2 linked regions of the Macaca fascicularis genome follow. The protein of the gene in region 2 purifies or fractionates together with the protein of the main gene of each other region. This does not show direct contact. Links are inferred from orthologs where the notes say so. Each region holds a gene or a part of one and is shown on either strand. Other genes may lie near its edges.

Evidence for each region. Proteins that work in one complex are often made in the same cells at the same time.
Region 1: the proteins of PPP1R18 (region 2) and PPP1CA purify together in Homo sapiens (affinity purification with mass spectrometry; 5 studies listed by BioGRID and IntAct, counting the BioPlex papers as one, with this or other methods). This does not show direct contact. The link is inferred for Macaca fascicularis from reciprocal best matches to the Homo sapiens genes PPP1R18 and PPP1CA.

Annotation. Positions count from the first base shown.
Region 1 is NC_088388.1:6,973,890-6,979,861, forward strand, and holds PPP1CA (serine/threonine-protein phosphatase PP1-alpha catalytic subunit), read left to right. Parts: upstream 1-2,010; 5' UTR 2,011-2,086; coding exon 2,087-2,141; intron 2,142-2,667; coding exon 2,668-2,799; intron 2,800-2,948; coding exon 2,949-3,179; intron 3,180-4,207; coding exon 4,208-4,312; intron 4,313-4,655; coding exon 4,656-4,879; intron 4,880-4,962; coding exon 4,963-5,097; intron 5,098-5,173; coding exon 5,174-5,284; 3' UTR 5,285-5,640; downstream 5,641-5,972. UniProt on the Homo sapiens protein: Protein phosphatase that associates with over 200 regulatory proteins to form highly specific holoenzymes which dephosphorylate hundreds of biological targets.
Region 2 is NC_088378.1:141,974,477-141,979,857, forward strand, and holds part of PPP1R18 (phostensin), read left to right. Parts: intron 1-2,631; coding exon 2,632-2,842; intron 2,843-4,751; coding exon 4,752-4,771; 3' UTR 4,772-5,381.

The DNA of each region.
Region 1 (5,972 bases), on a different chromosome or scaffold from region 2:
CCCCTGAGCTGTGGGCTCCTCCCACCCTCCCCATGGCCCCAGTGACTGAAGGCTTGAGTTCCTGTGCTGGGTGTGGAGGGCCCAGGCCTCTTAGACACAGAGGCCAGGCCACCTCCAATTCTTTTGTTTGTTTCTTTTGAGACAGAGTCTTGCTCTGTTGCCCAGGCTAGAGTGCAGTGGCACGGTCTCAGCTCACTGCAACCTCCACCTCCCAGATTCAAGTGATTCTCCTGCCTCAGTCTTCCAAGTAGCTGGAACTACAGACATGCACTACCATGCCCGGCTAATTTTTGTATTTTTAGTAGAGACAGGGTTTTGCCACATTGGCCAGGCTGGTCTCAAACTCCTGACCTCAGGTGATCTACCCACCTCTGCCTCCCAAAGTGCTGGGATTACAGGCATGAACCACCGCGCCTGGCCTTTGTGTTTGTTTCTTGAGGGTCATGCTCTGTCACCCAGGCTGGAGTGTAATGGCAGGATCTGGGCTCACTGCAACCCCCACCTCCTGGTCTCAAGAGATCCTCCTGCCTCAGCCTCCCTAGTAGCTGGGACTGCAGGCGTGCACCACCATGCCCAGCTAATTTTTGTATTTTTTTGTTGAGATGAGGTTTCGCCGTGTTGCCCAGGCTGGACGCAAGAGACCATCCCACCTCAGCCTCCCAAAGTGCTGGAATTACAGGCCTAAGCCGCCACAGCAGGCCCACCTCCAGTTCTGAGGTTACTGGCATGTAAAGCACCCAACTCAGGGTTCCAACAAGAATTAAGGTTAATTTATCGTCTGCTCCTTTGAGACAGAGTCTCACACTGTCACCTCGGCTAGGGGGTGCAATGGGCCTTGGCCCACTGCAACCTCCGCCTCCCAGGTTCAAGTGATTCTCCTGCCTCAGCCTCCCCAATAGCTGAGATTACAGGCGGCTGCCATCATGCCCAGCTAACTTTTTGTATTTTTAGAGAGATGGGGTTTCACCATGTTGGCCAGGCTGGTCTTGAACTCCTGACCTCAAACGATCCTCCCACCTCAGCCTCCCAAAGCGCTGGAATTACAGGCGTGAGCCACTGCACCCAGCCATGTCTGCTCATATAGTAATTCTTTTTACGTGCACACCCTGCAATATTACTGTGCTACTCAAAAGCTAATTATGGGGCCAGGCTTGTTGGCTCACGCCTGTAACCCCCCCAGGACTTTGGGAGGTCGAGGCCAGTGGATCACTTGAGGTTAGGAGTTCAAGACCAGCCGGGCCAATATGGCGAAACCCCACCTCTGCTAAACACACAAAAACCAGGCGCAGTGGCGCGCGCCTGCAATCCCAGCTACTCCAGAGGCTGAGGCAGGAGAACCCCTTGAACCTGGGAAGCGAATGTTGCAGTGAGCCAAAGTCGCGCCACTGCACTCCAGCTTAGGCGACAAAGCAAAACTCTGTCTCAAAAAAAATAAATAAATAAAAGCTAATTATGGGACTTGTAAGAAAATATTAATTTATCATGCCCCAAGGACCAAAGTGCGCTGGAAGTTCAGCCGTAGCTGTCTTTGAGTGTGGTCAGCCGCCTGGGGGCCACGGAGACCCACGAAAAAGGGGGTCGTACGTGAATGCGAGGTCCAGGTCTTGCACCAGTCTGTTCATATCTCTTGAGCCTCAGTTTCCTTTCCTGCACTTCGAGCAGTTAACCCTCAGTGCCTAGCAGCCGGTTATTAATATGTTCACAACACCCTCCACCCAGGGCAGGGGTGGGAACGGCTGTTCTGCTTTTGAAAGAGAAAAACAACTTCCACAGTTCTTCCGGCCCCACATCCTCTGAACCGGGCTGGGCGCCTCCTCTGGGGCGTAACCAGTTGGACGCGCCCCCGACAGACCCCGCCCCCAGCCCGCCGCCAAGGCCCCGCCCCCCGGGCCGCGGCGCTTCACGTCCAGCGGGGGCGCTAGAGCGCGGGGGACCGGGCGGGGCGGGCCCGGGAGGCCCGGAGGCGGGGCCGCGGGCCGGGGGCGGACTGGGGCGGGCGGAAGGAGAGCCAGGCCGGAAGGAGGCTGCCGGAGGGCGGGAGGCAGGAGCGGGCCCGGAGCTGCTGGGCTGGAGCGGCGGCGCCGCCATGTCCGATAGCGAGAAGCTCAACCTTGACTCGATCATCGGGCGCCTGCTAGAAGGTTGGTCGCGGCGGGGGAGGCCTGCGTCCGCCGCTCCCGGGCCCCCTGCCGGGCCCGGAAGTGGCGCGCGGGCGGGCCCCCGGGGCCAGCTTAGACTGGGCGGGGACGGGCCGCGAGGTTCGGTGGCCGCAGCCGCCCCCCCGCGGACGCGCCTGAGAGGTCCTGGGCCCGCTCCGACGCGCGGAGCAGCCCCCTCTCCCGGGCCGGGGGCGCACGGGTTGCCTGGGTTCTTGAGGCGAGGGAGAAACCCGGGAAGCCCGGTCCAGGAAGGGGTCCTGCGCTGTGAGGTGTTTGGGTGGCAGCCCCCTGCGCACGACAGTCGCCTCCCGAGGCGCTGAGGGTAGTTGGGGGCTTCCCTTGGGAGGCTTGAGGCCGAGGTCCCGGGAGGCTCAGCAGCAACAGCTGCCTGCGGGCAAGGAGCAGCCGAGGAGGCCTAGGCGCCCCCGGAGGTATCCATGGGGCCACCCGTGTCGCCCACCCTCCTCCTGTCAGGGTCCCGGGTCTTGACACCCCATTGCGCCCCCAGTGCAGGGCTCGCGGCCTGGCAAGAATGTACAGCTGACAGAGAACGAGATCCGCGGCCTGTGCCTGAAATCCCGGGAGATTTTCCTGAGCCAGCCCATTCTTCTGGAGCTGGAGGCACCCCTCAAGATCTGCGGTGAGCCCCCCGACCCAGGTCCCCTTGCTTTCCTGAAAGTGGCACTGGCCCCCACAGAGTTCCTGGAGTCCTCCTCCCTTGAGCCCAGTCCTGGTCCTGGGTTCAGGTCTAGACCCTGCATCTAGCTTACCCGATTCCCTGGGTCACAGGTGATATACACGGCCAGTACTATGACCTTCTGCGACTATTTGAGTATGGCGGTTTCCCTCCGGAGAGCAACTACCTCTTTCTGGGGGACTATGTGGACAGGGGCAAGCAGTCCTTGGAGACCATCTGCCTGCTGCTGGCCTATAAGATCAAGTACCCCGAGAACTTCTTCCTGCTCCGTGGGAACCACGAGTGCGCCAGCATCAACCGCATCTACGGTTTCTACGATGAGTGTGAGTGGTCTGAGCGTCTGGGGCTGCCCGGGTCCTGAACCACACTCCTTGTCATTCAGTGGGACCTTCACATTGGCCTGATATCTGACAGACACTTGCTAAGACTGTGCACTCCACGAAGGCAGGGCCCAGGTCCGTTCTTGTGCCTGCCCTGCCCCTCCTGGCATGGGGTCTGGGGAATGGTTGCTGACTGAAGGACTGTCCGTATTCTAGTGCTTTCCCCCAGGGCCCTGCCTGGTGACGTTCCCTCTACATTTGCTACTAAGCATTTAGGATGTTTGCAGATGAGCTCTGCTGTCCAGAAGCTGAGATAAACCAGACCTGTACTTGGCCCGGCTCGTGGGCCGGGGCGTGCAAGGAGTGCCAACCCTGAGGCTGGTCCAGATTGGAACTCAGTTTCCAGTGGACTCGGGTGCTTTAGAATTACTTCTGGTGGGAGGCTGAGGCGGGAAGATCACTTGGACTCAGAAGCTCCAAGTTACAGTGAGCTATGATCTTGCCAATGCACTCCAGCCTGGGTGACTGAACAAGACCCTGTTTCTTTACTTTTTTGAGACGGAGTTTCGCTCTTGTTGCCCAGGCTGGAGTGCAGTGGTGTGATCTCAGTTCACCACAACCTCCATCTCCCGGGTTCAAGCGATTCTCCTGCCTCAGCCTCCCGAGTAGCTGGGATTACAGGCATGCGACACCACGCCTGGCTAATTTTTTTGTATTTTAGTAGAGACAGGGTTTCTCCATGTTGGTCAGGCTGGTCTTGAACTTCTGACCTCAGGTGATCTGCCTGCTTCAGCCTCCCAAAGTGCTGGGATTACAGGTGTGAGCCACCATGCCCTGCCCAGATCCTGTTTGTTTAAATTACAAATTAAAATAAAAAGTAACTAGAATTACTCCTGGAAGGCTGACAGGCGGCAGGGGTGGGGGTGGTTTGCATTGGTGCCTGACTCTCTCCCATCTGCGGCTGAATAGCCCAGAGACCCCGGCTAAGGGTGGAGCAGGCAGACCCCTCACAGCTACCTCCCTCTGGGCAGGCAAGAGACGCTACAACATCAAACTGTGGAAAACGTTCACTGACTGCTTCAACTGCCTGCCCATTGCGGCCATAGTGGACGAAAAGATCTTTTGCTGCCACGGAGGTGAGCTCTCCTTAGTTGTCATCTGGGAAGTCACTCCTTTCAGGAAGTGTCTCCCATACCCCCCTGTGCTGGGCTGCACTCACTTCCTTGATGTGCATTCTACATGGGGCGGGCTTGTCTCCTTTCTCCCAGGAGCTCTGTGCTCCGGAGGCCAGGGGCGCCTTTGTGCCTGTTTGGGAACTTGAAAAAGCTGAGGGGAAGGGGATGGCTTCTGCCTGCCTGGGCACCCAGGAGACCAGTGGAGGGACCAGGAGGGTGGTGGAAAAGTGAGGCTCACTGGCCAAGGCTTCCTGGAGGAAGGATGTCCTTGTTTGAGGAAGTGACCTTCCTTCTGGCCCTCCAGGCCTCTCCCCGGACCTGCAGTCCATGGAGCAGATTCGGCGGATCATGCGGCCCACAGACGTGCCTGACCAGGGCCTGCTGTGTGACCTGCTCTGGTCTGACCCTGACAAGGACGTGCAGGGCTGGGGCGAGAACGACCGTGGCGTCTCTTTTACTTTTGGAGCCGAGGTGGTGGCCAAGTTCCTCCACAAGCACGACTTGGACCTCATCTGCCGAGCACACCAGGTGGGCTGGTGGCTCCCGTCTGTGGTGGGGGAAGGGGAGGGCCTTGCCTGCACTTGGGACTGACTGCTCCGATCCTCACCCAGGTGGTAGAAGATGGCTATGAGTTCTTTGCCAAGCGGCAGCTGGTGACACTTTTCTCAGCTCCCAACTACTGTGGCGAGTTTGACAATGCTGGCGCCATGATGAGCGTGGACGAGACCCTCATGTGCTCCTTCCAGGTGAGTGTGGGGAAGAAAGGAGCTACTAGGCCCCGTGGCTCAGCCCCATGAGCCTGACCAACCCTGTCTCTTTTAGATCCTCAAGCCCGCCGACAAGAACAAGGGGAAGTACGGGCAGTTCAGTGGCCTGAACCCTGGGGGCCGGCCCATCACCCCACCCCGCAATTCCGCCAAAGCCAAGAAATAGCCCCTGCACCCCGCGCCTGTGCCCCAGATGATGGATGGATTGTACAGAAATCATGCTGCCATGCTGGGGGGGGGTCACCCCGGCCCCTCAGGCCCACCTGTCACGGGGAACATGGAGCCTTGGTGTATTTTTCTTTTTTTTTTTTTTTAATGAATCAATAGCAGCGTCCAATCCCCCAGGGCTGCTTCCTGCCTGCATCAGCGGTGGCTGTGAGCAGGATCCTGGGGCTGAGGCTGCAGCTCAGGGCAACGGCAGACCAGGTCGTGGGTCTCCAGCCGTGCTTGGCCTCAGGGCTGGCAGCCGGATCCTGGGGCAACCCATCTGGTCTCTTGAATAAAGGTCAAAGCTGGATTCTCGCCATGGCCTCCGTCTCGCGTCTAAGACGCTGCCTGGCAGCTCCTCTGCGCAGAGCTACTTGGGAGGCTGGGCACCAGGCCCCAGCAAGGGCAACCCTAGCCACACACGCAGGTCCGAGGCTCTTAGAATTCCAGGTCGGCACCAAAGAGTATCAGGAAAGCAAGAAAAACTGTCAGCTCCACGGGCGTCCCAGATGCATGCCCAGGACTTCAGGAAGGAACAGGTCAGGTCATGATTGGCAGAGAAGCTGGATCATCAGGGGCCGGCAGCACCTGCTGTGATGTTTTCCTTAGGAAGGTGAGCCTGAGGGAGACAGGTTTCCAGCCTTGGC
Region 2 (5,381 bases):
TCTGAGAACTTGGGATATAAGCAGTCTGGCTGCTATAACTAGATTGTACCAGCAGTTCCACAGACATGAACTGGGGGGTCAAATATGTATAGGCTGGACCACCCCCAGATTGTTTCCCCAGCATTGGTCCTCTGATGGCACCTCATCTGAGGTTTGAACAAACTCTAAACTCTTGCACTGTAGCAACTTTCAAGCTCCTTTTTTCTTTTCTTTTTTTTTTTTTTTTTTTTCTGAGACAGTCTTGCTGTCTCCCAGCCTGGAGTTCAATGGTGAGATTTCGGCCCACTACAACCTCCACCTTCTGGCTTCAAGTGATTCTCCATCCTCAGCCTCCTGAATATCTGGAACTACAGGCGCACACCACCAAGCCCAGCTAATTTTAGTATTTTTAGTAGAGACGGGGTTTCACCATGTTGGCCAGGCTGGTCTCAAACTCCTGACCTCAAGTGATCCCCCTGTCTTGGCCTCCCAAAGTGCTGGGATTACAGGTGTGAGCCACTTCACCCGGCCCCAAGCTTCTTTCAACAGCAGACACGAGTATAATAAATTAGTAAATTATCTAGGAAGTTAGAAGGTGGTGAGTGACTATGAAAAAAAAAAAAAAGAACAGTGGAACTTAGAGGGTCAGGAAGCAGGGGGAGTGAATATGGAGACTTCAAAATGGGGTGATCAGGAGGGTCAGAGCCATGGGGATATTTCAGGGGAGTGTTCTAGGCAGAAGGAATAGCTAGTACTTTTCTGGTCCTGAGGTGGGAGTGCGTGGAGGGACCAACGCCAGTGTGGCTGGAGTGAAGGAAGAGGCCAGAGAGGCAAGGGGAGGGTGGCACATTGGGAGCACCCTGTAGGCTTTGGTCAGGCTCTGGGCACCTTTGGGGCAATCAAGTAGACTTTTTTTTTTGAGGTGGAGTCTCACTCTGTTGCCCAAGCTGTAGTGCACTGGCGTGATCTCGGCTCACTGCAACCTCCGCCTCCCGGGTTCAAGTGATTCTCCTGCCTTGTCCTCCCGAGTAGCTGGGACTACAGGCGTACGCCACCATGCCCAGCTAATTTTTTTGTATTTTTAGTAGAGACGGGTTTCACCATGTTGACCAGGATGGTCTCAATCTCTTGACCTTGTGATCCGCCCGCCTCGGCCTCCCAAAATGCTGGGATTATAGGCATGAACCACCGCGCCCAGCCTCGAGTAGACTTTTTGCTCCAAGTGAGATGGGGAGACAATGTGGGGTTTGGAGCCAACAAGGAGTAACATACACAGTTCCCGAGTTCCATTTTCCCATGGGGACCCAGGTGTCATATCTGATTTTTTTTTTTCTTTTTTAGAGACAGTGTCACTCTATTGCACAGGCTTGTCTCCAACTCCTGGGCTCGAGAAATAATCCTGCCTCAGCCTCCCAAAGTGCTGGGATTACAGGCGTGAGCCACCGTGCCCGACTGGTGTCATATCTGATGCAGCTCTTAGCAACCACCTGCCCAGCCACCCTTCTGGCTTCTCCCTTTTCATACCTCAGTCCATTAGGGGACTCAGGGATGTTCGACTGGCCCCAAGTCCTCCCAAACAGATGCCAGGGAAGGCCTGAGTAGATCATTTGGACCTTTCCAAGTAGTCCACATGGAATCCTCCTGCTGTCTGCCTAATCCCTTTGGCTCCTAGACTTAATCCCACCCTGCCCCTTCCCCCTGAGCTTCTTAAGAGGGCAAAGGGGAAGGGTAGAAAGGCAGTGAGAACAGCTGGGACTCACCTGCTTTTGGCACAGTGTGATTTTTCTGTGCCCTGTCTGGTATTTTGTCTCTGCGCCTGTCCCTTTGAGCACACTGTGGGCTCAAACCCCACCCCAGGTTTGTGTGGACTTTCCTTTCTGCCCTTGTCATCTCCCCCAACCTTTCAAGGTGTCAGCGGCTAATCTTTCCCCTGTGTGTTGTGGGAGTCTCTTGGTTCCTCTGGGCCTTTCTATTCATCTCCCATCTCTTCCCAGGCCCTAGACCCCCTTTGCTATGGATAGGAGAGGAATGAGGGGAGTGGGAGGGAACAGGTGCCCAGGCTCCTGGGTTTCGCATAGGACAGCAAGGGGCTGTGGGTATGAAAACCATGGTTTTGGTTGAGACTGGCTCCCCAGCCAGTTCTTTCCCCACTGGCCAGTCTGCTGGGCTCCTCTGGGAAGTTTACTCTTTCCCCACTGGCCAGTCTGCTGGGCTCCTCTGGGAAGTTTACTCTATTGCCTCCAAGGTGCCCAAAGACTCGGTTCTGATCACAAGACTAATCGCCACGTATTTTAATTTCTTTTTACCCCTCTGCCTCCCACACTCGAAAGAGCAGGGACCTTGGTCTTATGTTATTCACTTCTGCCTCCCAAGCCCCTGCCAACATACAGGGCAAAGTCTGATGTTTTGAAATGATATGATCGAAGAGGGAAACTCTAGGATTGGAAAGCCAGTGTGTAAAGGAAAACTGGATCCCAAAGTGGATGGGAGAGAGTGAGGGGGGCGCCTAAGTCCAACCCCCACCCCCACCTTTCCCCCGCCCCACCTGCTCCCTTGCAGACTCCCCCCCGCCCCCCGCTTTCTCCCCCTCAACCCCCACGGGCCTCACCCCTGCTGACCTTGCCTCCTGCCCCCTTTTTCTCCCTCCTTCAGCTTAAGATCTCCTTCAGCGAGACAGCCCTGGAGACCACGTACCAATACCCCTCCGAGAGTTCGGTACTGGAGGAGCTGGGCCCGGAGCCTGAGGTCCCCAGTGCCCCCAACCCCCCAGCAGCCCAACCCGACGACGAAGAGGATGAGGAAGAGCTGCTGCTGCTGCAGCCAGAGCTCCAGGGCGGGCTGCGCACCAAGGCCCTGATTGTGGGTAAGCGGACGCTCCGCCGGCTCGAGAGCGCCCCCTGCTGTCAGAGCTGGCGCTGCGGTCCAGGAGAGAAGAGGAGGGAGGATTGCATGTAGGCGCTTGGAAGGGGCTTGGTGGTCCTCTGGTCCAACCTGCTCCTTCAATAGATGGGCAAACTGAGGTCCCGGGCAGTGAAGTACACATTGAGTCTTCAAGTTTCAAAACGAGAACTCTTCCTGAGTACCGTAATCTGGTCAAAACCACAGGGTGGGTCTACAGGCCTGAGTTGGAATTGCAGCTTGTCTCTTAATTGTGTGATCTCAAGGAAACCATCCGATATCTGGCTTTAGTTTATTATTTATGAAATGAAGTTAATAATAACTACCTCCTGTGGCTCATGCCTGTAATCCCAGCACTTCGGGAAGCCAAGACGGGTGGATCGCTTGAGCCCAGGAGTTCAAGACCACCCTGGGCAACATGGCAAAATCCTGTCTCTACAAAAAAATACAAAAATTATCCCGGTGTGGGCCAGGCACGGTGGCTCACGCCTGTAATCCCAGCACTTTGAGAGGCCGAGGCGGGCGGATCATGAAGTCAGGAGACTGAGACCATCCTGGCTAACACGGTGAAACTCCATCTCTACTAAAAATAAAAAAAAATTAGCCGGGCGTGGTGGTGGGCACCTGTAGTCCCAGCTACTTGGGAGGCTGAGGCAGGAGAATGGTGTGAACCTGGGAGGCGGAGCTTGCAGTGAGCCGAGATCACCCCACTGCACTCCAGCCTGGACAACAGAGCGAGACTCCATCTCTAAAAAAAATAAATAAATAAAAATAAAAGAATTAGCCAGGTGTGGCAGTGCACAGCTGTGGTTCCAGCTACTTGGGAGGCTGAGGTGGGAGGATCGTTTGACCTCAGAAGTTGGAGGCTGCAGTGAGCCGATATTGTACCACCCACTGCACTCCAGCCTGGGCAATAGAGGAAGACCCTGTCTCGAAAGAAACAAACAGGCCAGACAAGGTGGCTCACGCCTGTAATTCCAGCACTTTGGGAGGCTGAGGCAGGTGGATCACTCAAGGTCAGAAGTTCAAGACCGGCCTGGCCAACATAGTGAAAACCCATCTCTACTAAAAATACAAAAATTAGCTAGGCATGGAGGTGGACACCTGCAATCCCTGCTACTCGGGAGTCTGAGGCAGGAGAATCACTTGAAGCTGGGAAGCAGAGGTTGCAGTGAGCCGAAATGATGCCACTGCACTCCAGCCTGGGCTACAGAGTGAAATTCCGTCTCAAAAAAACAGAAACCAAAAACTACCTCCTAGAGTTGTAGAAAAGATTAAGTAATTTATTTTATTTAATTAATTAATTTATTTATTTATTTTGAGATAGCTCCCTCTGTCGCCCAGACTGGAGTGCAGTGGCACAATCTTGGCTCACTGCAACCTCTGCCTCCCAAGTTCAAGCGATTCTCATGCCTCAGTCTCTCAAGTAGCTGGGATTACAGATGTGTACCATCACACCTGGCTAGTTTTTATATTTTTAGTAGAGACAGGGTTCCCCCATGTTGGCCAGGCTGGTCTTGAACTCCTGACTTCAAGTGATCCTCCCGCCTCAGCCTCCTAAATTGCTCAGATTACAGGGGCTCCAGGCCAAGATTAAGTAGTTTTTGTGAAGCACCAAGAGCCACAGCTGGATATCAAATTACTTAATCTCTCCTGGAGTTATGGTGACGTTAAACAGTTATGAGGATGCTTGGCACAGAATCCGAGCTAAATGAGTGATGGATGTGGTTACTGATGGTAACGTGCTTTAGATGTGGAAGATATTATAGGACTTCCTGCATGCCAACTGCCCTTCAATTTGTGTGTGGGGGAAGGGTGGGCAGAAGGCAGAGGCTCTCACTCATTCTCTGTCATTATTGCCCCCTCTCCCACAGATGAGTCCTGCCGGCGGTGACCATCTTCAACATAGGGATATACCTCCTTCCTTCTTATAACTGAAGATCCTGGATCCCAGAAGATTCAGGGCAGCAGACCCTGATAATGAGCCTGGCAGGGAAGGGCAACAACCAACATCTTGTAACTTGCTTTCCCCACCCTGTTTCTGGGGGCAGAGCCAATTGCCCAATTTCTACCCTAATCCAAAGTCCCTGGTGTGGGTGGGGTTAAACGTGCTGGTACATCCTGGGTGATCTAAGAGTGAGCGCCAAGTGCTGAGAAGGAGCACAGAACTCCCTGGAGGGTGGAGATGGAGCACCTGCCCTCCATGGCAGGGTACACTCTCCCCACAGCCTTCCTCCCCACCATCCCGTGGGGACTCTTGGGATTTAAGCACTCATCTCTCTCGAGGCCCAGAGCCCACTCCATTTATAGGCACATCTCCCTCATTTCCTAGATCACTGCCCCTTTGTTTACAGCTCCTGCCTCCTCCTTGACCACAGCCTGGTTTACAAATTCCACCAGCTCCCAGCCCCACCTGCCAAAGTCCCAGGTTTACAAGCCACGCTTACTTGCTGTGTCTGCGTGGAATTCTTTCCTCTCTCCCCTCCAGTCTTCTCATTGGAGTG